Linked DNA regions of Saccharomyces cerevisiae S288C. Changing the gene in region 1 together with any one later gene gives a genetic interaction. Each region holds a gene or a part of one and is shown in the gene's direction. Other genes may lie near its edges.

What was found.
Region 2: mutations in TSA2 (region 1) and EGD1 together harm fitness more than expected from each alone (negative genetic interaction), as found in Saccharomyces cerevisiae (2 studies listed by BioGRID).
Region 3: mutations in TSA2 (region 1) and CST6 together harm fitness more than expected from each alone (negative genetic interaction), as found in Saccharomyces cerevisiae (2 studies listed by BioGRID).
Region 4: mutations in TSA2 (region 1) and BAS1 together harm fitness more than expected from each alone (negative genetic interaction), as found in Saccharomyces cerevisiae (2 studies listed by BioGRID).

Annotation. Positions count from the first base shown.
Region 1 is NC_001136.10:1,363,292-1,368,697, reverse strand, and holds TSA2 (thioredoxin peroxidase TSA2), read left to right. Parts: upstream 1-3,035; coding exon 3,036-3,626; downstream 3,627-5,406. Other genes in the region: bifunctional K:H/Na:H antiporter NHX1, read right to left, coding at 1-1,213; GUK1 (guanylate kinase), read left to right, coding at 1,871-2,434; PPN1 (endopolyphosphatase), read right to left, coding at 3,796-5,406. UniProt on the Saccharomyces cerevisiae protein: Thiol-specific peroxidase that catalyzes the reduction of hydrogen peroxide and organic hydroperoxides to water and alcohols, respectively.
Region 2 is NC_001148.4:479,264-484,945, reverse strand, and holds EGD1 (Egd1p), read left to right. Parts: upstream 1-3,044; coding exon 3,045-3,518; downstream 3,519-5,682. Other genes in the region: H(+)-exporting P2-type ATPase PMA2, read right to left, coding at 1-2,103; MET31 (Met31p), read right to left, coding at 3,878-4,411; YPL038W-A (uncharacterized protein), read right to left, coding at 4,573-4,764; YPL039W (uncharacterized protein), read right to left, coding at 4,771-5,682. UniProt on the Saccharomyces cerevisiae protein: Component of the nascent polypeptide-associated complex (NAC), a dynamic component of the ribosomal exit tunnel, protecting the emerging polypeptides from interaction with other cytoplasmic proteins to ensure appropriate nascent protein targeting.
Region 3 is NC_001141.2:282,898-287,929, forward strand, and holds CST6 (Cst6p), read left to right. Parts: upstream 1-2,768; coding exon 2,769-4,532; downstream 4,533-5,032. Other genes in the region: pheromone-regulated protein PRM2, read right to left, coding at 132-2,102; casein kinase 2 catalytic subunit CKA1, read right to left, coding at 4,893-5,032. UniProt on the Saccharomyces cerevisiae protein: Transcriptional activator of promoters containing ATF/CREB sites. Can independently stimulate transcription through ATF/CREB sites. Important for a variety of biological functions including growth on non-optimal carbon sources.
Region 4 is NC_001143.9:632,357-639,819, forward strand, and holds BAS1 (Bas1p), read left to right. Parts: upstream 1-3,494; coding exon 3,495-5,930; downstream 5,931-7,463. Other genes in the region: phosphoenolpyruvate carboxykinase PCK1, read left to right, coding at 1-445; ubiquitin-specific protease UBP11, read right to left, coding at 670-2,823; SKG1 (Skg1p), read right to left, coding at 6,545-7,463. UniProt on the Saccharomyces cerevisiae protein: Activates HIS4 transcription only in combination with PHO2/BAS2. BAS1 is also involved in the regulation of the purine biosynthesis pathway.

The DNA of each region.
Region 1 (5,406 bases):
ATATCCAGTTAACAAATTGCGACAATGGGAACACAGCACACCAACGAGCAACACATATAGAAATAGCTGCCACAATAATTAGCAGTGGCTTATAGACTAGTTCTACTTCAGTAAAAAGTTCTAAACCTAGATAGATAAAGATGAAATTCTCTGATAATCTTGCCAATAGTTGGAAAATATACTTAATGGTGATCTGTGATCTTCTTGACATGTTATAATAGGCGTAATGTTTTAAAGTAATTCCGCAAAATAACAAGGAGACGATACCGGACATATGGCAACCGTTGGAGAAAAAATAGGATTCATAAGCAATCAACAAGATCAAACAACTCTCAATTTGAGGATAGCGCCTTATGTGAGTGTGTTTCAACAGAAGAGCAACAAGAATTCCTATAAGAACGCCTATCAACAACGAAACGGAGAAAGTCATCAAAAAGAGGCCTGCCCCTTCAAAAACCGACGAAAATGTTGCAGGTTGACCATGAAATTTTTGACAGGTTTCAAACATAACAATAGAGATGGCATCATTTAACAGTGATTCTCCAAAAATGATGGTATATAGCTTAGGATCCACTTTATACGCATTGAAAATTGAAAGAATTGTAACAGGGTCGGTAGCAGATAATGTAGCACCAACAGACATTGCATCTGCGAATGAAATGTCAATACTCTCTAGTCCTAAAAAGGTCCAGATATACAATATGATTCCAATAACCACAGCAGATATGAAGGTGCCCGGTATGGCGAAAATTAAGATAGATAACATATTATTGAAAAAGTTCACTTGATTCAACTCGTACCCACTATTTAAAATAATTGGCGGCAATAGAACATTAAAAAAGTAGGATGAATTAAAAGTAACCGTATCTTGAATATAATGCCCGGGGGACATCCTTATTATCAAGCCAATAACCATACCATAAAAAATAGAAAGCACAGTTTCATGCACTGCCCTAATTCGTTTCTGAGTTAAATAGTAACTAGACCACAATGCAGAGATCAATAGGAGCAACATAATGAACAATGCCCATGAAGAGAACATTTCTTCTGTAACAGGGTTTAAGTCTACATCAGGATCACCTGCAATAGGGTCATCGCTACCCGGGAGATCCGGGGAAGGTAGAAGTTCATCATCATCGTCAGGATCAACTGCTCTCTTGGCGGTGGTTAACAGCACCTTGAAAGCTATATTCAGCAATACCTTGGATAGCATTTTTCATATGGTATGTACTGACAGCGATAAAAGATTATCCTCTGAATTTCACTGCTTGCAATCTATGTTTAATCTACAACTATTTGTCAATCTTGGGTGCCCTTTATCTTAGAGTAGCTAGAAAAGCAACGGAAACAGAAAAAGTCACACCGTGAATAATGATTGTTCGATATCAACTTTTGCAGTTCCTTGCTATCACGTTTGTGCAAGGTATATCATCTGTCATAATCCTTTGGCAAGACTACTGCTCTGCTACTCCTTGTGTGTGCTCACGGCAGGCTACAATGCAAAATTCATCCTAAACTCTGCTCTATAAGCATTAATAAGGTGAAATTTTCACAGCCTTTACATAAAAAACGACAGTAAGTGTATAAATGTGATTGTCAAAACTGCGACGATTCGAAATGATAGCTATTTGAAGTGTAGGTTATATCGACAGGAAGTTTCGGTTCTCGAAATATGTGATGCGTCTTTCCGGCGGCGTCGATGCTAATAGCAACCGTACTCATCGGTACATTCCAAATTTCGAAAAAAAGCTTGGAAACACATAAAAAAGAAAAAAAAAAATACATTTAGCATAAATGGATACACAATGGCGTTTCTTTTTAGTTGATAACTACAGTTTACTTCGGATAAAGATTAGTAAACCTTTGCGTTATGTCCCGTCCTATCGTAATTTCTGGCCCAAGTGGTACAGGTAAATCTACACTGTTGAAGAAATTGTTCGCTGAATACCCAGATTCTTTCGGGTTTAGTGTTTCATCCACTACTAGAACCCCAAGAGCTGGCGAAGTAAACGGTAAGGACTATAACTTTGTCTCCGTAGATGAATTCAAATCTATGATTAAGAACAATGAATTCATTGAATGGGCGCAATTCTCCGGTAACTACTATGGTAGTACTGTCGCTTCCGTCAAACAAGTCAGTAAATCTGGTAAGACTTGTATTTTAGATATTGATATGCAGGGTGTCAAATCTGTCAAGGCTATCCCAGAGTTAAATGCCAGGTTTTTGTTTATTGCTCCACCATCGGTCGAGGATTTGAAAAAAAGATTAGAAGGTAGAGGTACGGAGACCGAAGAATCCATCAACAAGAGGTTAAGCGCCGCTCAAGCTGAATTGGCATATGCTGAGACAGGTGCCCATGACAAAGTTATTGTCAATGATGATTTGGACAAGGCCTACAAGGAATTGAAGGATTTTATCTTTGCAGAAAAATGATGTAGCCCTATATAGACATTACTAAGTATGTACCTGGTAGGAGAGTGCTGTCGCAAAGCGACAAAACGTCCAATTATTCAATTAATATAGTGTAAAAGTTCTCAACGGGCTTATGCTAGTTTTTTTTGTTAGTAAGCGCTACGACGACTAGAACCATCTCTTGAATTTCCAAGTGCCAAAATCAATGACCACGGATACTGTGGCCAGGAATCTGTTGGTTGGTCATCCTCAAGATCTAGACAATATCATATTGGGCCAGTATCTGATTATCTTAACTATATGCGCCCCTCTAGTTTACAAGTTTTAGTCATTGGGGGTTGGAAGGGCTGATCCCCCCTTACAATTGGCGTCGTTTAGGAGCGGGCGAGGCTCTCCTTTCTCTTACACATCTGCTAAGGTGTTTGTTACCCGAGTAATCAAGGATCAACTATGGATGAGATTTAGATTAACGTATTTAGAGCAGACGATTGTAAGAATATATTTTGTAATTTCGATTGTTTTTTGCTACTTACATTGTTTATCTTGAAATATCCAAAGTGAACACTATTACTGTTTTTTGCTCAAGAATATATTAGCCTTACAAGAACGTAAAAAACCAATCATGGTAGCAGAAGTTCAAAAACAAGCCCCACCATTTAAGAAAACCGCCGTAGTCGACGGTATCTTCGAGGAAATTTCACTGGAAAAGTATAAAGGTAAGTACGTTGTTCTAGCTTTTGTCCCATTGGCTTTTTCATTTGTCTGTCCAACTGAGATTGTTGCGTTTTCCGATGCCGCCAAGAAATTCGAAGATCAGGGCGCCCAAGTTTTATTTGCCTCCACCGACTCTGAATATTCCTTACTGGCATGGACCAACCTTCCCAGAAAAGACGGTGGATTAGGTCCAGTTAAAGTTCCTTTGCTTGCTGATAAGAATCATTCCTTATCCAGAGACTATGGCGTTTTGATTGAAAAAGAAGGTATAGCTTTAAGAGGTTTGTTCATAATCGACCCGAAGGGAATCATTAGACATATCACTATCAATGATTTATCTGTTGGCAGAAACGTCAATGAAGCTTTGAGATTAGTCGAAGGTTTCCAGTGGACTGACAAAAATGGTACAGTTTTGCCATGCAACTGGACCCCAGGAGCCGCCACCATCAAACCTGACGTTAAAGATTCCAAGGAGTATTTCAAAAATGCCAATAATTAATCTTCGCACGATAACGCTAGGCCCTATTAAATAATTAAAAATACATCACCCTATATATGATAAGAAAGATGGTTTTGTATTATTATGAAATTGACTTGAAAGAATAGTGTAACAAAAGAAAAAGAAACTGTAATTGAAGAATGATATGCATTTCTATGTGTATATTAACTTAATCATCTTTATATCCAGAAGACGCAAATGACCATTCGACGTATTTTTCCCATGCAGGTTTGTTTTCGTATAATCTGCCTGCAAGATCCAAATAACTTCCTACTGTTAACGAATCCATTGAGTATGGTTTCTCGTCTGAGGTATATTCTATCTCATACCTGAAAATATCCTTAGATTCAACAAATGAATTATGTAATTCTTGATTGATTTTTTCCAAGTCGGCGTAGAATTGGACGAAACGCGTCGGAGTGAATAACTGCGGTACATATGCAGGGCCGAGTTCGTATTTGTCTGGCATCTCAATTGGCATAGTCTTGTCATTTTTCTTTTTCTTCTTGTTTTTCTTTTCGCCCATCTTCTCGCGGTTGATCCCAACCTCGATATTACTGCTGTCCATTTCATCTTCTAGCAAAGAGTCTTCCATAATCTTATTTAGTGACTCGAAAAATTCATCCCAGGGCTTATACTCCGAAACTGCAAAATTGGAGTCATTCACTATGTCGGTGATGTTATATTCCCAGATCCTAAAGGAAGGATTGAAAGTTGGAATGACTGAACCACCTATGTTCACAATGGAATAGCGTTCAATGAGCTCTTTTCTAGTGATTGGCTTTTTCTTTTTTTTGTCCTTCTTTTCTTTCTTTTTCTTCTCATTTTCAACATTTTTTTCATCCACTCTTTCCAGCTTATTCCACACTTTCCGATAGTATGTGTCGCGGACGGTGTTCATATATGCTTCTTTGTTAGATGGTTTCGCTCCCATTAAAAAAACTTCTTTTGCCGCCATAGCGTGATCCAGAATTCTATTCAATTCAGTTTCTTCGTCCTCTTCATTACTGTCTTCTCCTTGTTGAACACGAGTGGATTGCTCCATGGCTTTCAATAACGATTTTCTAGCTTTTTTACCATCCGTTGGGATGAAGTGGTCAATATTCATGTGACCGTATAATCCTCCAATGATTATATCCCTGTATTCGTGAGTCCATAGCGTGAACTTATCGTAGCACGACTGATCGAAATTTTTTGCGATTGGAGGTACATGTCCACTTAACCATACTTTCATTCCCCTACTCCTTAGTTCTTCTAATACATAACCGAACCAAAGTAAAAGTTGGTAACCTGGTTCTTTTTTTGAATTACAATTGTCAACTAACGGATTGGCCTTGAATAAGTACAGCGTGTTAATTGACAGGACAGCAAGCTTCCCTGGAATAACTTCAGTCAAAAATGAAGCACTCCTATCAAAAGTTCTTTGCTGCTGCTGCGGAACAAAATTTTTCCAAATCCTATAATATTCTCTAGTTTGTAGAGTTGGTCCTAGTGCAAACATGTTATGTGGAAAGACATCATTGTTTCCAAGACTTGGAATGACAGACACATCAAAATCTCTTGGATCTTCTTCATTGCCAGCACTAAATAATTCTGTCATTTTATCAGCAACGATATTGTTCATATCAAAAATTTGTGCTTCTGTTCTTGGATGTTTCCGGTCATTGTCATGTCTGATATTATCACCCGTCCAAATGACAAAATCAATCTTATCTCTAAGATTTTCTTTAATCCATCTCAGAGTTTCTTCCATTAAAATAACGGGAGAATCACATCCAGA
Region 2 (5,682 bases), on another chromosome or scaffold:
AGAGAGACCAGGGGCCAAGAAAACAATATCAGCGGCTGATCTGGCAGCATCGGTAGCACCTTCGACAGCAATACCAGTATCAGCCTTCTTCAAAGATGGGGCATCGTTAACACCATCACCAGTCATAGCAACCAAGTAACCTCTGTTTTGCAAGATTTCAACGACTCTGTATTTATGCTGTGGGAAAACTTCTGCGAAACCATCGGCATTTTCAACAAAATCAGCCAACTCTGAACCAGGCATATCACCTCCACCTCCCAGACCTAACCTTTCTGCGTTATAAATGTTTGTACCAAGTCCTAATTGCCTACACGTTTCTTTCGCGATACCAACAGCGTCACCGGTTAACATCTTGATTCTCAAACCAAGGTTTCTGGCCTCATTGATTGTTTGAGCGGTGTCATCTCTAGGGGGGTCCATACATGGCATAACACCCAAGATTTCCCAGTGACCTTCCCCTCTCTTTCTAGCAACACCTAAAGCACGGAAACCTCTAGAAGCTAGTTCAGCAACCTTATTTTCGTAGTTTTCATGCACATCTTCCGGAATTGGGTGATCTTCTTCAACAGTCTTCAAGACAAACAATGGGGCTCCCTTGACACAAACAATTCTTTCACCTTCTGGGGATTCTACAACAGCGGTAACCTTTTTTGAGACAGGGTCGAACGGATGGAATTCCAAAACTTTGTACTTGGTCAGGGCGTCTTTAGCTTTTGGATACTCAATCAATGACTTCAAAAAAGCCTTATCAATAGCATCCAAACCTTTCTTCTTTCTAGAGGCAGCTAAACAAGCGGTCAACATCAAGTCGTCCGGAGAAACGCCTTCGACAGTGTAGGGTTCGTGTAAAGATAACTTGTTTTTGGTTAAAGTACCAGTCTTGTCAGAACATAAAATCTCAACACCAGCAAGGGATTCAATAGCAGATAACTTTTGAACAATGGCTTGCTTCTTAGCCAAGTAAGCTGCACCGACAGCCATGGTCGTGGTAACAACTGCTGGCAAACCGACTGGGACACCAATGATGGTTATACCCAAAGTATATCTCAAAATGCTTACAATACCGACCGTTCTATAGAAACATGCGGTCCAGACCAACAACAAAGTAGCGATAACTAGAACAAGTAAGATAATACCAATTCCATTCAATACTTCAGTGAAATGGCCCTCTACACCGGAAGCCTGCCCCACTAAGGCGGCAGCCCTACCGACGAAGGTATTGTCACCAGTGGCAGTAACAACCATAAAAGCCTCGCCGGTTTTCACAGTGGATGAGGAGAACACCTCATCACCGTAATGCTTTTCAGCGGCTAAGGATTCACCAGTGATGGCCGATTGATCGATCTGCAAAAAACAGTCTTCAGTGACAATACGACCATCTGCGGGAGCAATTGTGCCACTTTCCAATTGCAAAATCTCACCAGGAACTACCTCATTAGCCGGAATTTCGATCAATTGGCCATCTCTAATAACTGTTGCAGTATTGGCCAACGTCTTTTTCAGCTCGTCTACGATGGAACCTGCCTGGAATTCTTGAATAAATCCGACAGATGCGTTTAATAGCAGTAAAGCACAGATGACACCGACATCAACCCAATCAGACAAACCGGCAGCCAAAATAGCAGCAGCCTCCATAACGAATTGAATAGGCCCTACGAAGAACATCAAAAACTTCACAATCAACGATTCATTCTCCTCAGCCATTTGATTTAACCCATATTTCTTTCTTCTCCTGGCGACTTCATCCGAAGTCAAACCATACGCAGGGTCCGTAGAAAGGTCCTTTTCAGGAACAACCCTTTGGCCAGCGTGCACCCCATCAGTACGTACTTCTTCTTCACCAGATTCATCACCCTCACCGTAGTTAGATTGTAGTTCATCAATCAATTGGTCTATATCTTCATCTGAGTCAGAATCATCAGCGGCAGAAGCGGCTGCGGCCTTCCGTGGAACGGCTGCAGCCGATGACGAGGCGGAAGTTGATGTAGAAGACGAAGATGACGAAGAAGCGGCAGAATTATTTGCAGGGTCATCGCCATCACTGGCATGGAGGTACTCTTTCGAGGGTTTCTCCTTGTATTGCTTTGCTTCAGTGGAAGACATAACGCAAAACAGTTTCCTTTTGCTTAAATTGTACTAGCACACAGCAACGAAAAATGAAAAAAAAAAAGTTATGGGTATGTTTAAAAAAGCCCAGTAGCTTGGATACAGTAGGTTATCCAGCAAGAAATGCTGGAAGAAATAATAGATGGTAAAAGAGGATATTACACACCTTTATATAACGAAGTACCATCACACCGCCAATTACGTTTAGGGGACGCCGACAAGAAGTAAATTCACTATTATGTACTTACAAATATGTTTCCACCGATAACCTTTCCCCCTTCGACGGTTATTTGAGCAGCGTCTGTCCGCCATTTTTCCAGAGAAGCTACTTCATCAATCAATTGACTTCGCAATTCCCTTAAACAAAAAAAATTTCTTTTGCCCTCCCTCGACGATTTTGGAGTAGAGAATACCTTAGGCCTTTTTTTTTCTTTTTTCTCACGGCTGCTCTTCCTCTTTTTCGCATATTCTATTTTATCATCGACTTCCCTAATTCGCACTCGTACCAAAATGTTAAGCAGTATGGCGAAGAACGTGGCGCGCTGGAGTCGTGAATGTTTGGGTCCTTGATGATGGACTACGGTAGTAAGTATGTAGTAGTTGCAACTTCATATGTTCACTTCTGATCCAAGGAAGAGCGGTTATGAATTAATCTCTTGGCATGAGCGGACGGGTAAGGGGACACCGCCTTTTCTTCGATGGGAATCAGGGTAATGGTATATGATGGATTATTGTGGAATCATTTAGTACGGCAGATGTTGAAAAAAAAAGCAGAAAATTTTTGAATTTTTTTCGTTGACATTGGAAGATTTCGTAGTGGAAACAGCTGCAATTGCTTGTTAAGTAGTAACCCCTCCTTTGTCACAAGAGAGCGAATATTCTTTCTAGGGAGGTTTAAGAATAGAACATCTCACACCAGACGCGACTCATAATTCATAATGCCAATTGACCAAGAAAAATTAGCTAAGCTACAAAAGTTGTCTGCTAACAACAAAGTTGGTGGTACTAGAAGAAAGCTTAACAAGAAGGCAGGCTCTTCTGCCGGTGCCAACAAGGATGACACCAAGTTGCAAAGTCAATTAGCTAAGTTGCACGCTGTCACCATTGACAACGTCGCCGAAGCCAACTTTTTCAAGGACGACGGTAAGGTCATGCACTTCAACAAGGTCGGTGTCCAAGTTGCTGCTCAACACAACACTTCTGTATTCTACGGTCTACCACAGGAAAAGAACTTGCAAGATTTGTTCCCAGGTATTATCTCTCAATTGGGCCCTGAAGCCATCCAAGCCTTGTCTCAATTGGCTGCCCAAATGGAAAAGCACGAAGCCAAGGCTCCAGCTGATGCTGAAAAGAAGGATGAAGCTATTCCAGAGTTAGTTGAAGGTCAAACTTTTGATGCTGACGTCGAATAAATAACTTAATCTTTAATTTTAACGTTAAATAAAAAAACACATATTTTGTTCCATTTTTTTTCATTTTTTTTAGCATATCTAAAGCATATAATACAAACACTGTTTTCTGCAAAAAAAAAAAAATAAAAAATAAAATATAAAAAAACAATATACCACACTATGCTGCACACGTGAAATGATGAACTTGTACGTCACCACTTTGTGCGCAAAAAATTGGCAAAAGTAGAGAACATGTCACTAACTGTATCGGAATATTACAACGTTTTTTTATTCTACTTATCTCAATGGCTAAAGTATATATCTATCTATATATGTATGTGTAGGTGTGCTGATGGAGACAAATACGTTTTCCTCTAGCCTTACAACAGGCCGGTACCATTCTTTATCGCATCCTTGATGAGCTCATCTACATCAACGTCTGAACCTTCACTTAGTTTCTTTCTGTTTCTTTGACAGGTCAGTGTGTTAGAATGTCTTTTTAGAGCATCCTTCCTGGCAAACCCTTTGCCACAGTTTGAGCAAATATGCGGCAGCACGAGTGAGTGTACCTTTTCATGTCTTCTCAGATCAGAACTTCTGCTGAATTTCAACTGACATTTCGCACAGCTGTAGAGCTGTGCGCCTTCCTTGCTATGGTTGTTACCTCCTGTTCTTTTTGTTTGTGTTTCTGGAATCCTTATAAGACCTCTAGCCATATTTTCCGGCTCCCCAGCCTTTAAAACATTTTCTGGTGCTGGTATAACTGCGCTCAATGGGCTGGATTGTCGAATTCTGTGGAGTAGCTCTCGTATTATGGGGTCCGTATGAGTGGGACTTGATGAGATTACCGCTATAGCTTCTGCCGCTTGTTTGAGAAATATTTCATCTACATTCATGTCTTGCGCCAGTTTCATATGCACATATAGACTATCGACTGTGTATATTGAGCCCAACTTGTTAATGATCAAATCTCTTTACGTACTGAGGAACGGCTTTTTCTTTTTCTTACCCATGTTATATTTTGCATTAGAACAAAAAAAAAATTGATGGGCTAGCAAAATTTTTAGACTAAAATTTAGAGGCAAGATATGGTTCTGTAAGACTCGAAAAAATTCTCATAATATATACTTGCTTGTGTGAAAGTGTTCTTTTGTTTTGTTTTTTTTTCTTGTGTATAATTATACATGTTTTTTTTGCCTTTTGTACTCAAGAAATCATAAATGGAAATAAAAATGACCCTTGAATGATGAACAAAACGACAAACCATACTTTATTAAACTATCCTAAAAGCTTCTTGTACTAACTTTTTACCCATTTTGTTAAACTCCTGTAATTCTGTCACCAAAACATATCCGTTACTTTGACCCGACCATTCACCAGAGTCACTTACTTGGGTGGGTTCGATCCCACACTCAATTAATGATCTAGAATGCAAACCATTTGGTGTGTCTGGGATAAACGTAGTTTGTCGATATGTATCGGCATCAGCCCCCATGCTATGCGTTTCTTCATGTTCCGACCGCCTATCTTGGCCTTCCCCATCGGAATGGCTATGAAGCGAGTATGCCCTTGTATGTACATGTAGATCATCAGCTGACCTATTGGTAGAGAAAAAAGGTGATGCTGATGAATTGGAGTTCATAAAAGAACTTCTGAGGAAGTACGAATGTTGTTCACGTCGAGATAACATTTGCCTGCGTTGTTGTCTACTCCGCCGAATAAGTACAGGCCTCACAATAGAACAACAATTTATCACTTCTTCCAGTGGCAAGCCTGTTATCTGGGAATAGAGATGATAGGTTTCATCCCTCGTGGTAATCCTGTCGCGGTCATCGCCTACAACATTTGGCACACTTAAGATGAAAGCAGCTACAAATAGTTTGTGTAAGCTGAACTTTAAAAACTTCATGTAGTTAGTTTCCTTCGAGCAGCAATCTAGAAACTTGATGACAATGCAACAGACCTTTTTGAACTGTAAATGCGATGATTTGGCTCTGTGTAGGATTATTTCTAAAAATTTGGTTGTTTTCAAATGATTTGTGCCAATAATTGCATTGTCATCATCACTAGGCATGGTAACTAATAGGCTCGCATACCGCTGCATAATCCCCTTAGTCACTTGCGCTATCATGAACTTTTTCAATACCACTTTTTGCTTTTTAAATGACAACTCAGCAGATGCCAT
Region 3 (5,032 bases), on another chromosome or scaffold:
TAGGTTTTAGAGATTACGCACAGATGAAAGTGAATTAAGCTACTATTACATAAAATCAAGGTATCTTTCACAAGTTTTTCACTCAGCGAAAATTGCGAGACCGCTCGTGGAAGGTGACGATAATACGATACTTACAACTTTAATATTATAAATATAAGCATGTGGTGGAACAATATAGTCAGGCAAACTGCTAAAAGTCCCCACTTATAAACAGTGTGTAAAAAGTACGTTTGTTTTTGCTCCTTATCCTTTATTTGGCGTTTTGACAGTGAAGACAATGCCGCTACCGATGCGTTGGTTATATTAATTCCTCGATTAATTATACCATATTTTTGAATGTCCAGTGCAAATGAAGAATTTGTATTCGTAACTTCGTATGTCGGTAGGAAATACTGACCCAGGAACTCATTAATTGAATCGCTGCCTAACAGAGGCTCAACCTGCAGGTCTATCCCCTGCCAATTTTGAGAACTCTCATTAAGATATTTTTCAAACTGAGTGTTTGTGTCGTTAACCCAAAGATTTAGGATGTCCGTTGATTGCACTTTCAAATTGGGGTCAGTTTGAAGGCTTAAATTTGCTGTAATGAACTTTTCATTCACTTCCATTTGGAAATTTTCACACAATAATGATACGCTGTCATTAATGAAACCCTCTATCGTAGTTGTTATATTTCCATCTGTCCAAACTTCCCTTTTGTATAGCGAAGGTCCCGCTCTTTTGTGGAATGTAGGCAAACTGGGTACTTCAAAGTTTGTTAATCGCGTCACTATCTGCCAATGAATTAATAACATCAAAAAACCAAACAGCCACAGGTGAGCCCCATTTGAGATTATCCACCAGTTACAGTAAAATAGTTTTGATTTTTTGACTTTTTTGTCATCGATTTTTTCTGGTTCTCTTTTAAATATTTTTTGATTGATAAGCTTTGTTAATTGGTAGGGAATTGGATAAAGTGTACTGAGATTCAGAGTAGTAATTAAGCTTTTCAAAACTTTGTTGTATTTAGTAAAATTGGTTTGTCCTGTCAGGCCATTAATTTGGGACATAACCAGGTTTACTTGCTGATTTTCCAGCTGAAACAGAATTCTTTCGATTGCCATGAGCAAAATCACAAATGCAAAGTACATGACTGTGAAAATTATTGTCATTCTCTTACATTTACGGAAAACGTGATTTTTTACTGCACTTAGTACACTGTTTTCCTCGCTATTTGTTTTCAGAGACCGTTTAATTATTGAAGTAGACGATGTAACCTCGGTACTCCCCCCAGATAAAATGGAAATTTCATTCTGTAAGTTTGCAGTAAAGTTCCTTTTCAACTGAAGCCAGTCAGTGGAATTTCGTAGAAAATTCAAACTTAAGGTACTAGAGGTATCTAATTGAGTAGAAAAGTCAGTGATAGTGCCATTGAAGTTCTGCAATGATTTCAATTTCCTTGAGTAGTTCCCAAAAATACTGTCAAACATGGAGTAATTTAACAGTAGGTTTGATGCCATTTGTGAAATGGAATCCTTATCAATGGTCATTGCGTCTTCTGATATTTCATTCCATGTGTCATTTATCAGCTGTGATTTAGTGAGTAGTTCGTTAAAAATTGTATTGTTTACCTCAAGAACTTCCTTAATCAATTCAGTTTCCAAACTTATTTGGTCGTTGATAAGTTTTTGTTTATTATCCAGTATGTCGTCTGTGTATGACTTGAATTTTTCTTGCATATCCGTACCTACCGTAGATTCAATACTCCGTAGTTTGCTTTCGAAATACTGATCAATTGTATTATCAATGAATGTTTTATTTAAAGAGTAACTGTTGGCAGAATATATGGCATGCTGTGTTGTGACTGCTGTCATTGTGGCCGTTGTTGTGGCCGTTGTTGTGGCTGTCGCTGTAGCAGTTGAAATAGATGCAAAGGTTGAGACGGTATCATTTCGTTTGACCTGTGCGTGAGACATTTTTGCCATTGTAATGTCAATGACTGAAAAGGAACCCCAAATAGTTAAAATAACAGAAGTAAAGAATATCAGTAATAGAGGATGGAAAATACAACTAAAAAACCTCTGTGGAAGTGATAAAGGTTTAATTATGTGTACATTGTTCATCTTTGCCGTACTCTTAGTTTTATCGAAAAGTGGTGTAGATTTTCAGCTACTTAAGCCATGTTAGTGTTCTAGTTTTTTGCTTTACATGTTATATAAAGGGCCAAGATAGCATATGTAAATGTTTTATTACTGGGCTGAAACATTTTTAAAACATTTTTCAATAATGTGCTGTTATAACCGTACAAGGACGGTTATAATTCTGAATTAAAATGCTGCACCGAATGAAAATACCAATGTTCTTCCAAACCTATTGGCGAAAATTAAGATAAGCTGTCGCCTCTATAATCAAGAATAATCTCAACTATTATAAATATTATTCCCAGAAGTTGAAATTGTGACACATTTGAGTAATATCACCTTACACGGAACATAGTTGCCCCCTTCTCCGAAATTGCTGACAATGATAATCGGGGATTCAATGACAATGACAATGAAGGCAAAAGATTTTCATATTGTACTCTTGTTTTTTGAGTTATCACTTTCAAGTACCTTCTTGTTAACAGAAATAGAACCGCTATAGAGGTTATCGTGTATACGTATCTGTTGGTGTTTCTAAATCAAAAACTCGCTTTTAAAGCAGTCTTTCAATTGGAAGATTCAAAAGGATCTAAAAAGATCTAAAGTAGTAAAGAAAAAAGTATAAGCCCACACCTTTTTGGTAGGATAATGTTTACTGGTCAGGAGTATCATTCCGTAGACTCTAATTCCAACAAGCAAAAAGACAACAATAAACGTGGTATTGATGACACATCAAAGATCTTGAATAATAAGATACCGCACTCTGTTAGTGATACTTCTGCCGCCGCCACCACCACTTCTACTATGAACAATTCTGCTTTAAGTAGATCCTTAGATCCTACTGACATAAACTATAGCACAAATATGGCTGGTGTGGTTGACCAAATACATGATTATACTACTTCCAATAGAAATTCTTTAACCCCACAATATTCTATTGCAGCTGGAAACGTCAATTCGCATGATCGGGTTGTTAAACCCAGCGCCAATTCAAACTATCAGCAGGCTGCATACCTTCGACAACAGCAACAGCAGGATCAGCGACAACAGTCACCCTCTATGAAAACTGAAGAGGAATCCCAACTCTACGGTGATATTCTGATGAATTCTGGTGTCGTACAGGATATGCATCAGAATCTGGCCACTCATACAAATCTGAGCCAACTGTCGTCTACCCGTAAGTCCGCTCCGAATGATTCTACTACAGCCCCGACTAATGCGTCCAACATCGCCAATACGGCTTCTGTGAACAAGCAGATGTATTTCATGAACATGAATATGAATAACAACCCACATGCCTTGAACGATCCATCCATCCTGGAAACATTGTCGCCATTTTTTCAACCTTTTGGTGTTGATGTAGCACATTTACCTATGACGAATCCACCAATTTTCCAAAGTTCTTTGCCTGGATGCGATGAGCCAATTAGAAGAAGAAGAATATCAATCTCTAACGGTCAAATAAGCCAGCTAGGCGAAGATATTGAAACTTTGGAAAACCTGCACAACACACAGCCGCCCCCGATGCCCAATTTTCACAATTATAATGGTCTGAGCCAAACTAGGAATGTATCAAACAAGCCGGTCTTCAACCAAGCAGTGCCGGTTAGTAGTATTCCACAATACAATGCAAAAAAAGTTATTAATCCCACGAAGGACTCCGCATTGGGTGATCAGAGCGTTATTTACTCGAAAAGTCAGCAGCGAAATTTTGTAAACGCGCCATCAAAGAATACTCCAGCGGAGAGTATAAGTGATTTGGAAGGCATGACGACGTTTGCGCCAACTACTGGAGGTGAAAATAGGGGCAAATCTGCACTTAGGGAATCTCACTCTAATCCTAGCTTCACTCCAAAATCTCAAGGATCTCATTTAAATTTAGCGGCGAACACACAGGGAAATCCAATCCCTGGTACTACGGCATGGAAGAGAGCAAGATTGTTAGAAAGAAATCGAATTGCAGCTTCGAAATGTAGACAAAGGAAAAAGGTTGCGCAGCTGCAGCTCCAAAAGGAATTTAACGAAATTAAAGACGAGAATAGAATTTTACTGAAAAAGTTAAATTACTATGAAAAACTAATCTCTAAATTCAAGAAATTCTCCAAAATTCATTTACGTGAACATGAAAAACTAAATAAAGACTCAGATAATAATGTTAATGGCACTAATAGTAGCAACAAAAATGAAAGCATGACTGTGGATTCATTAAAGATCATTGAAGAACTTTTAATGATCGATTCAGACGTTACAGAAGTGGATAAAGATACTGGTAAGATCATAGCCATCAAGCACGAGCCATACTCTCAACGTTTCGGAAGCGATACTGACGATGACGATATAGATCTCAAGCCCGTAGAAGGTGGTAAGGATCCAGACAACCAATCATTACCCAATTCTGAAAAGATAAAATAACAAAGTTTTGGTGAGCACAACGGTGTTTCATTCAAGAATGATAAGGACAACTATATATGTAATATACGTGTATAAATACTCGAGCTGCATCCTTTCTTTTCTGCCGTTATTATTTCGTTTAGTTACTACATTTATGGTATAAATTACCTTTAAGACATTATTATTTTGCATGTATGAAATTTGCTCGTGTCAACCCCTTAGTCCTCCTTGCCTCTGTTGTATGGAGGAAGCCCTTTAAACCTGTATTTAGTTTTTTAAATCTATTAGAATTAAGTACAATTGTACAGATGGTAAAAAAAAGTAATCGTTATATCGTTTGTCAGTGATTTTTTTTTTTTTATTTCATTCATTATTTATTTCTTATTTTTCAATTTGTTCCCTTATTGGGGCAAACCACGGGTGTCCCATCGCTTCCTTAGCAGTTAATCTTTCTTGATGATCATATCTCAAAAGATTGTCAATAAGGTCAATAATTTCATCGTTGCCGCTTAAATGTTTAT
Region 4 (7,463 bases), on another chromosome or scaffold:
TGAACCTGAACCAACATTTTCATCTTGTTTCGGACAACCCTTCCTAGCCTTGCACCCTATTAGATACGCAACCATGTTAGCTACAAAGATGTCTCAACATAAAGCTAATGCGTACTTAATCAACACCGGCTGGACTGGTTCTTCCTACGTATCTGGTGGTAAACGTTGCCCATTGAAGTACACAAGGGCCATTCTGGATTCTATTCATGATGGTTCGTTAGCCAATGAAACGTACGAAACTTTACCGATTTTCAATCTTCAAGTACCTACCAAGGTTAACGGTGTTCCAGCTGAGCTTTTGAATCCTGCTAAAAACTGGTCTCAAGGTGAATCCAAATACAGAGGTGCAGTTACCAACTTGGCCAACTTGTTTGTTCAAAATTTCAAGATTTATCAAGACAGAGCCACACCAGATGTATTAGCCGCTGGTCCTCAATTCGAGTAAACGAAACATGTTCGTTCGATATGTTCAATCCAAAAAAAAAAAAAAGAATTAGAATTATTTCGACATCATAAATGTTCGTAATATATTATTTTGTCAATTTTTTCTCTTCCCATTTCAGCTTTTTTTTAATAACTGAAACTGGATCAACAAGCACATGTTTTTCTAATTAATCTTTCAAACATATTTATGTATATACATAAGGAAAATTCAAAAATCCGATGCAATTAACAGAATTCTTCTTCATAGTTCTCTTCATCCATTCTTTCGTAGAATAAGACGTATACCTCATCGCTAGACATTTCTGTTTTGCCGGCTTCAAAGTTGTTGCGATCCTTGCGATGTTGCTGTATATAATCGTCATCAAATGTAACCCAAACTTGTCTATTCAGTCCAATTTCATGGCTCTTTTCTTTGTTCACAACAGAAGTATAGTGTCCATTGATAAGGTTACCGGAATGATTCACCGTTCCATATAACTTGTATCGAATCACTTTACCGTTCTTTAAAATAATGTTCAATATCAAAGGGTAGGTTATTACAGTGCTGTTTTTTTTTGTTAAATCATAATAGAACCTTGATAAATGAATGACAAGTATCGGAGGTAAAACTATAAAGTCTAAACTCTTAATCGTGGTTAACTTTTTAGAATTTCGCTTCTTTGCATTTTTTGTTGAATCATCGCTGCTATGGTGATGATGGTGATGATGGTGGGGTGATTTTGACCTTGATCTGGAATGAAAACCGAATATGGTTGATTTTTTCTTCTGGCTAGTAATTTCTTCTTTTTTGGATTTAGAATCAGTAATTCTACAATTAGGACAATCCCAAGCATTGTCGCCTGACAGTTCTTCATCGCCTGTAAATAAGTTTATGCAATCCTCTAATTTAATTTTTCTCGACTTACTTGTAAAGCTATACAATGATAGTTTTGGAATCGCAAGTGACAGAACATAGAAGGTAGAATAGCTATAAGAAGAATTACCACAGCGCTGACATTTCAAAATGTTCTCCAACTGCCCTCGATATATGTGATCAATTGGAGATAAACCATCAGTAATAACATTTCTCTCGTACCATTTCTCGTATTTGGATGGGTTAACTTGTAAAGCATTCGCATCATATGACACTAGATCTGGATAATACTTGACAACATTTTCGTTCGAGAGCTCTTCATGTATTCGTGCTAAAACTATTAGTAGAAATTCCTGTGTATCCTGTTGATCATCTGGGATGTTCAAATCTGGCCTTAACTTCTTGCACATTTTTAAGAATCTATTTGGTATAATCGCTCTTCCTCCATTCAAATACATTTTTTTGAACAAAACGTAAATCGAGCGGGAAAGTTGGACTTCTTTCGGATATTTGTTAGTATTGAGGAATAGCCTATATTTCTTGGTTAAAAACAAATCCCGAAATAAGGTAGTGCCAAACAGACATTGAATTATACTGTTAATATAGCATGTATTGCATGGATTTTGCAGGCCAGTAATAGATAACTCTGATAACAGATCATTAGAATCTTCAATTACTGGTAGATTGTAAGCTTTCGGGGCCGAAGATTCTATGGCCTCGATCTTTCCTTCTTCCTCCTTTGGCTTTTCCACCTTGGATAAAGAGGATGAAGAATCTTGGCTAGAATCTCTGATTTGTGACGAAACCTCCAAGGAGTGCACGGGGGGAGCAGTTGCTGGACTAGACAGCGTTTTGAATAATGCATCCTTTCCAGTACTGAGTTTTAAATACGAGGGTTTTGATAATGCTTCTTTGCTTGTGTAGTACGCCACTTCAGAACCAGCTTCCAATTTATTACTTGATGCTATCTGATTACTTTCCCTGACTATGTCCTCTTTCGAATTATCATTTGTTGGTTTTGTTAGCTCATTCGGTATTTCATGTAGTGAGCCATCAAACTTGTTATGTATTGACAAAGAGGCCATATGAACAGGTAAAGGCCGTAGCGGTAAGGAGTAGGCTCTTTTTCTTTTTATGGTCCTGCAAATTCCGTTTGACTCCGCTAAATACCGGTCAACAATAACAGTACTTTCATCTCTTACCACTTTTAACACATAACCCATCACGTGTTCGTCTTGATAGTCGTTTTTTAGCTTTGCGTAACTGCTGTAGAGATTATTTCTTGTTTGGAATTGTAACGATTGTGGAATAATAAGGTACAGATAATAACAACCAATAATAAATGCTGTCAAAGCTTCCATTTCCTGATTGATTTCTAAATCCCTCAGGTAAACATTAAACAGATGAGCAGCATGGTCTAACAATCCTCTTAAGTTCTTTAGCCGTAATTGCGAATAAAACTGTTTAATATCTACTTCATATACTTTTCGAACTAGGTTTAGAATTTGATCTGGGTTTAATAACATTGTCTTTATGACTTCCGATTTAGCGAAAAGAAAACGGAAAGTAAGATCAATGCCACGGTTATTTAGTTTACTGAAGATCCTGAAAGACTACTAGCAGTAGCAGTAACCTTTCAGAGCTTATAATCAACCTAATGATTACTCAGCGCACAATCTAAAAGGGTTTCTCAACTAATTCTCGAAGAAATGTCAATCCCTTTTTTAAGCACTCCGGAAAAACTTTATAATAGATGTGGGGAAATCACCTTTGACGATGTGCAACGGAGAAACTATTTTTTTTTTTCTTTTTTTCTTTTTTTTTTTTTTTTTGGTCCGAACAATGCGATGAGCCAGACGAAGAAAAAAATAAAAAATGAGAATGAGTAATTATGTTAAGACCTTTAGAAGAAATAGGGTCCAGTCACAGAATAAAGCCCCAGGAAACTTTAAAGCAATCGAAATTAACCAGCTATATTTATATAATAAGAAATTTTTCTTATTAGTTTACTATAAAGGACTAGTGTACGTTTTTTGTGTTTAATTATTTGCTTTCTGATAATCCGGTTTGCTGATTTGAATCGTTCTCTGCAACAATTGTTGATCTCTAGTGGGGTAAACAAAATTAGTTTTGTTTAAAACTTTTGTTGTAGCGTTTTTGCTCTTTTTTTTTTATCGCAGAATACATTTTATCGAGAATGTCGAATATAAGTACCAAAGATATACGAAAAAGTAAGCCAAAAAGAGGATCCGGCTTCGATTTACTTGAAGTGACTGAATCACTTGGCTATCAGACACACAGGAAAAATGGAAGAAATTCATGGTCAAAGGACGACGATAATATGCTACGATCGCTAGTAAACGAATCCGCAAAGGAGTTAGGCTATGAGAATGGACTTGAAGACGTAAAAACAATTCAACAATCCAACCATCTTTCTAAATGTATTGCTTGGGATGTTTTAGCTACACGATTCAAACACACCGTAAGAACTTCAAAGGATGTAAGAAAGCGTTGGACAGGATCTCTGGACCCAAACTTGAAGAAAGGTAAATGGACACAAGAAGAGGATGAGCAGCTCTTGAAAGCTTATGAAGAACATGGGCCTCACTGGCTGAGTATCTCCATGGATATCCCTGGAAGAACAGAGGATCAATGTGCGAAAAGGTACATTGAAGTGTTGGGACCTGGAAGTAAAGGTAGATTAAGAGAATGGACGCTCGAGGAAGATTTAAATCTGATAAGTAAAGTGAAGGCATACGGCACGAAATGGAGAAAGATTTCGTCGGAAATGGAATTCAGACCAAGTTTAACGTGCAGGAACAGATGGCGGAAAATTATTACTATGGTTGTGCGAGGACAAGCATCAGAAGTAATAACAAAGGCTATAAAAGAAAACAAGAACATAGACATGACAGACGGAAAACTCCGACAACATCCAATCGCCGATTCTGATATACGCTCAGATTCTACACCGAATAAAGAAGAACAGTTGCAGCTATCTCAACAGAACAACCCTTCATTGATAAAGCAGGATATATTGAATGTTAAAGAGAACGAATCGAGCAAACTACCAAGATTAAAGGATAATGATGGACCCATTTTAAATGACAGCAAGCCACAAGCATTACCTCCCTTAAAAGAGATATCTGCACCTCCACCAATCAGGATGACGCAAGTCGGTCAGACTCATACCAGTGGTAGCATTAGGAGCAAAGTATCTTTACCAATTGAAGGTCTTTCTCAAATGAACAAGCAAAGTCCTGGAGGAATCTCAGATAGCCCACAGACAAGCCTTCCCCCAGCATTCAATCCAGCATCTCTCGATGAGCATATGATGAATAGTAATAGTATTTCAGATTCTCCGAAGCATGCTTATTCTACTGTGAAAACTAGAGAACCAAATTCCTCTAGCACACAATGGAAATTTACATTAAAAGATGGTCAAGGTTTGTCAATTTCTAACGGAACTATTGACAGCACAAAATTAGTAAAAGAATTGGTTGACCAAGCTAAGAAGTACTCTTTAAAAATTTCGATACATCAACATATTCACAATCATTATGTTACATCCACAGACCATCCTGTCAGCAGCAATACTGGATTGTCAAATATAGGAAATATAAATGGAAACCCTCTATTAATGGATAGTTTCCCACATATGGGTAGACAACTGGGAAATGGTCTTCCAGGGTTAAATTCAAATAGTGACACTTTTAACCCAGAATATAGGACTTCTCTGGACAACATGGATAGCGATTTTTTATCAAGAACACCCAACTATAACGCATTCAGCTTGGAAGCAACTTCACACAATCCCGCTGACAATGCAAATGAACTTGGTTCACAAAGCAATAGAGAAACAAACAGCCCGTCTGTATTTTATCCTCAAGCAAATACATTGATCCCAACTAATTCTACCGCTACAAATAATGAAATCATTCAAGGAAACGTTAGTGCTAATAGTATGTCACCGAATTTCAATGGAACAAATGGCAAGGCACCAAGTTCGACGGCATCATATACAACGAGCGGTTCAGAAATGCCACCTGATGTAGGTCCTAATAGAATAGCGCATTTCAACTATTTGCCACCAACTATACGGCCTCATTTAGGCTCATCAGATGCGACAAGAGGTGCTGACTTGAATAAGTTACTCAATCCATCTCCAAATTCAGTAAGAAGTAACGGCAGTAAAACTAAGAAAAAAGAAAAAAGAAAAAGTGAATCATCTCAGCATCATTCTTCATCATCTGTGACAACCAATAAATTCAATCACATTGATCAGTCGGAGATATCAAGGACTACATCCAGATCTGATACTCCATTGAGAGATGAAGACGGCCTGGATTTTTGGGAAACGTTAAGATCCTTGGCTACTACGAATCCAAATCCTCCAGTTGAAAAGTCAGCTGAAAATGATGGTGCCAAGCCTCAAGTGGTACATCAAGGGATTGGCTCACATACAGAAGATAGCAGCCTAGGTTCCCATAGCGGAGGATACGATTTTTTTAACGAACTGTTGGATAAAAAGGCAGATACACTGCATAATGAGGCTAAGAAGACGAGCGAGCATGATATGACGTCAGGAGGTTCTACCGATAATGGGTCAGTCCTGCCACTGAATCCTAGTTGAGAAGGCAAGGCCGAAAAAAAACACAAATCTTTCAATTGTTTAACATATTAGTTTTGTAATAAGCATAAGTGTATATTATACATAGCACAAGATGGATAATATTCTCTGAAAAAAACGTGTAGTTTCATGACTCGCATTTTTTTTTTTTTTTCTTTCATGTTGATTAACATACTTGAATTCTGTATTTAAGCTGTATAAAAAGTTGTTCTATTTCATATACGGCGATTTTGCATAATTAAGAACTTTGCCTTGTACACTATTTTACTAGGGTATTCTTCCAAGATTTCTCTTCTTATTTTTTCCCTTTATAAGTCATTGTAGCAACATAATTTCCTGGAAATTTTAAGGGAATATATTTCTTTCCGCCCACAAACACAAAGGGCGTTTAGTAAATTATGCGGCGATGTATAAAAGAGAAAGCAGGCAAAAAGAAAATGAAAAATGAGACTATGAACTTTAAGAATTATGTCTTGACTAATTTTTTAAAACCCATCATCCATGAAGAGTTCTGTTTGTATTGTTTACGTTTGATGTTTGAAGTGAATTTAATAGAATTGTTCCTCTTTTTTTCTTCTTTTTTTAACTATAATATAATGTTTAGTATATCAACAGTACTATTTAGGCCTTAGACTTTCTATGAACTCTCTCTTACTCTGTGAGTAGTTGGTAAATTCGTTTTCGTATTGATCTTCCTCAGCAATTTCCCCGATATTGCCCACATCATAGTTATTCTGTAATTTGTATAAATCCTTATCTTTATCTGTTATTGCAGACCTGCTATCCTTTACCGAGTGGTCAGCATCCATTCCTTCGTTATCTTTATCAAAAGTGTTTGGTAACTGTGATTGAGCCGCACTTTTGGGTGTTGCAAACACATCCTCTAGGGCATCGCGCTTATTTACCGATGTTATAGAGGAATTCCTTGTATGGAAGGACGCGTTTGAAATGTTACCATTTAAAAACGAGGATGAAGCTCTCCTTGGGTAATACGAACCAAAGTCCTGATTCTGCAAATTTCTTATCAGATTTTCATTACTAGATTGGCGAGTATTATGTTTAAGTTCTATCATCGAAGCTTTGTTTTGGTCATTGCTAGTATTAGTATCACTGGAAGGATCTGCGAAAAAGTTTGGTCCTTCATCAGAAATAACAGGGACCATCTGATCATAAACGCTGATCTGTCTCTTTGTTATATGCCGTTGGGAAGATGATAAGGAAACATTGGAGCTGTTATTTATACTTGGTAAATCCACAACGGACTTCTGCCTGGCATTATTGCCGTAGTTATTATTTCGTACTTGAAGTAAATTTATTTTCCTACGGTATGCTGGCACATAGTATTTACTATTCTTTTTCCCTAACGGTTTCTCTTGATCTCGCGATTTTCCATCTTTTTCTTCTGGATGAGCAGATCCTTCCGATGAACCAGAAGTGTGATCAGGATTTTTTAGCTCGGAGCTGGCTAGTGCTGCTTCATCTTTACTGTCTCTTAAGGGTCCAAAATTGTCAAAGGACACGAAACCACTTTCATCA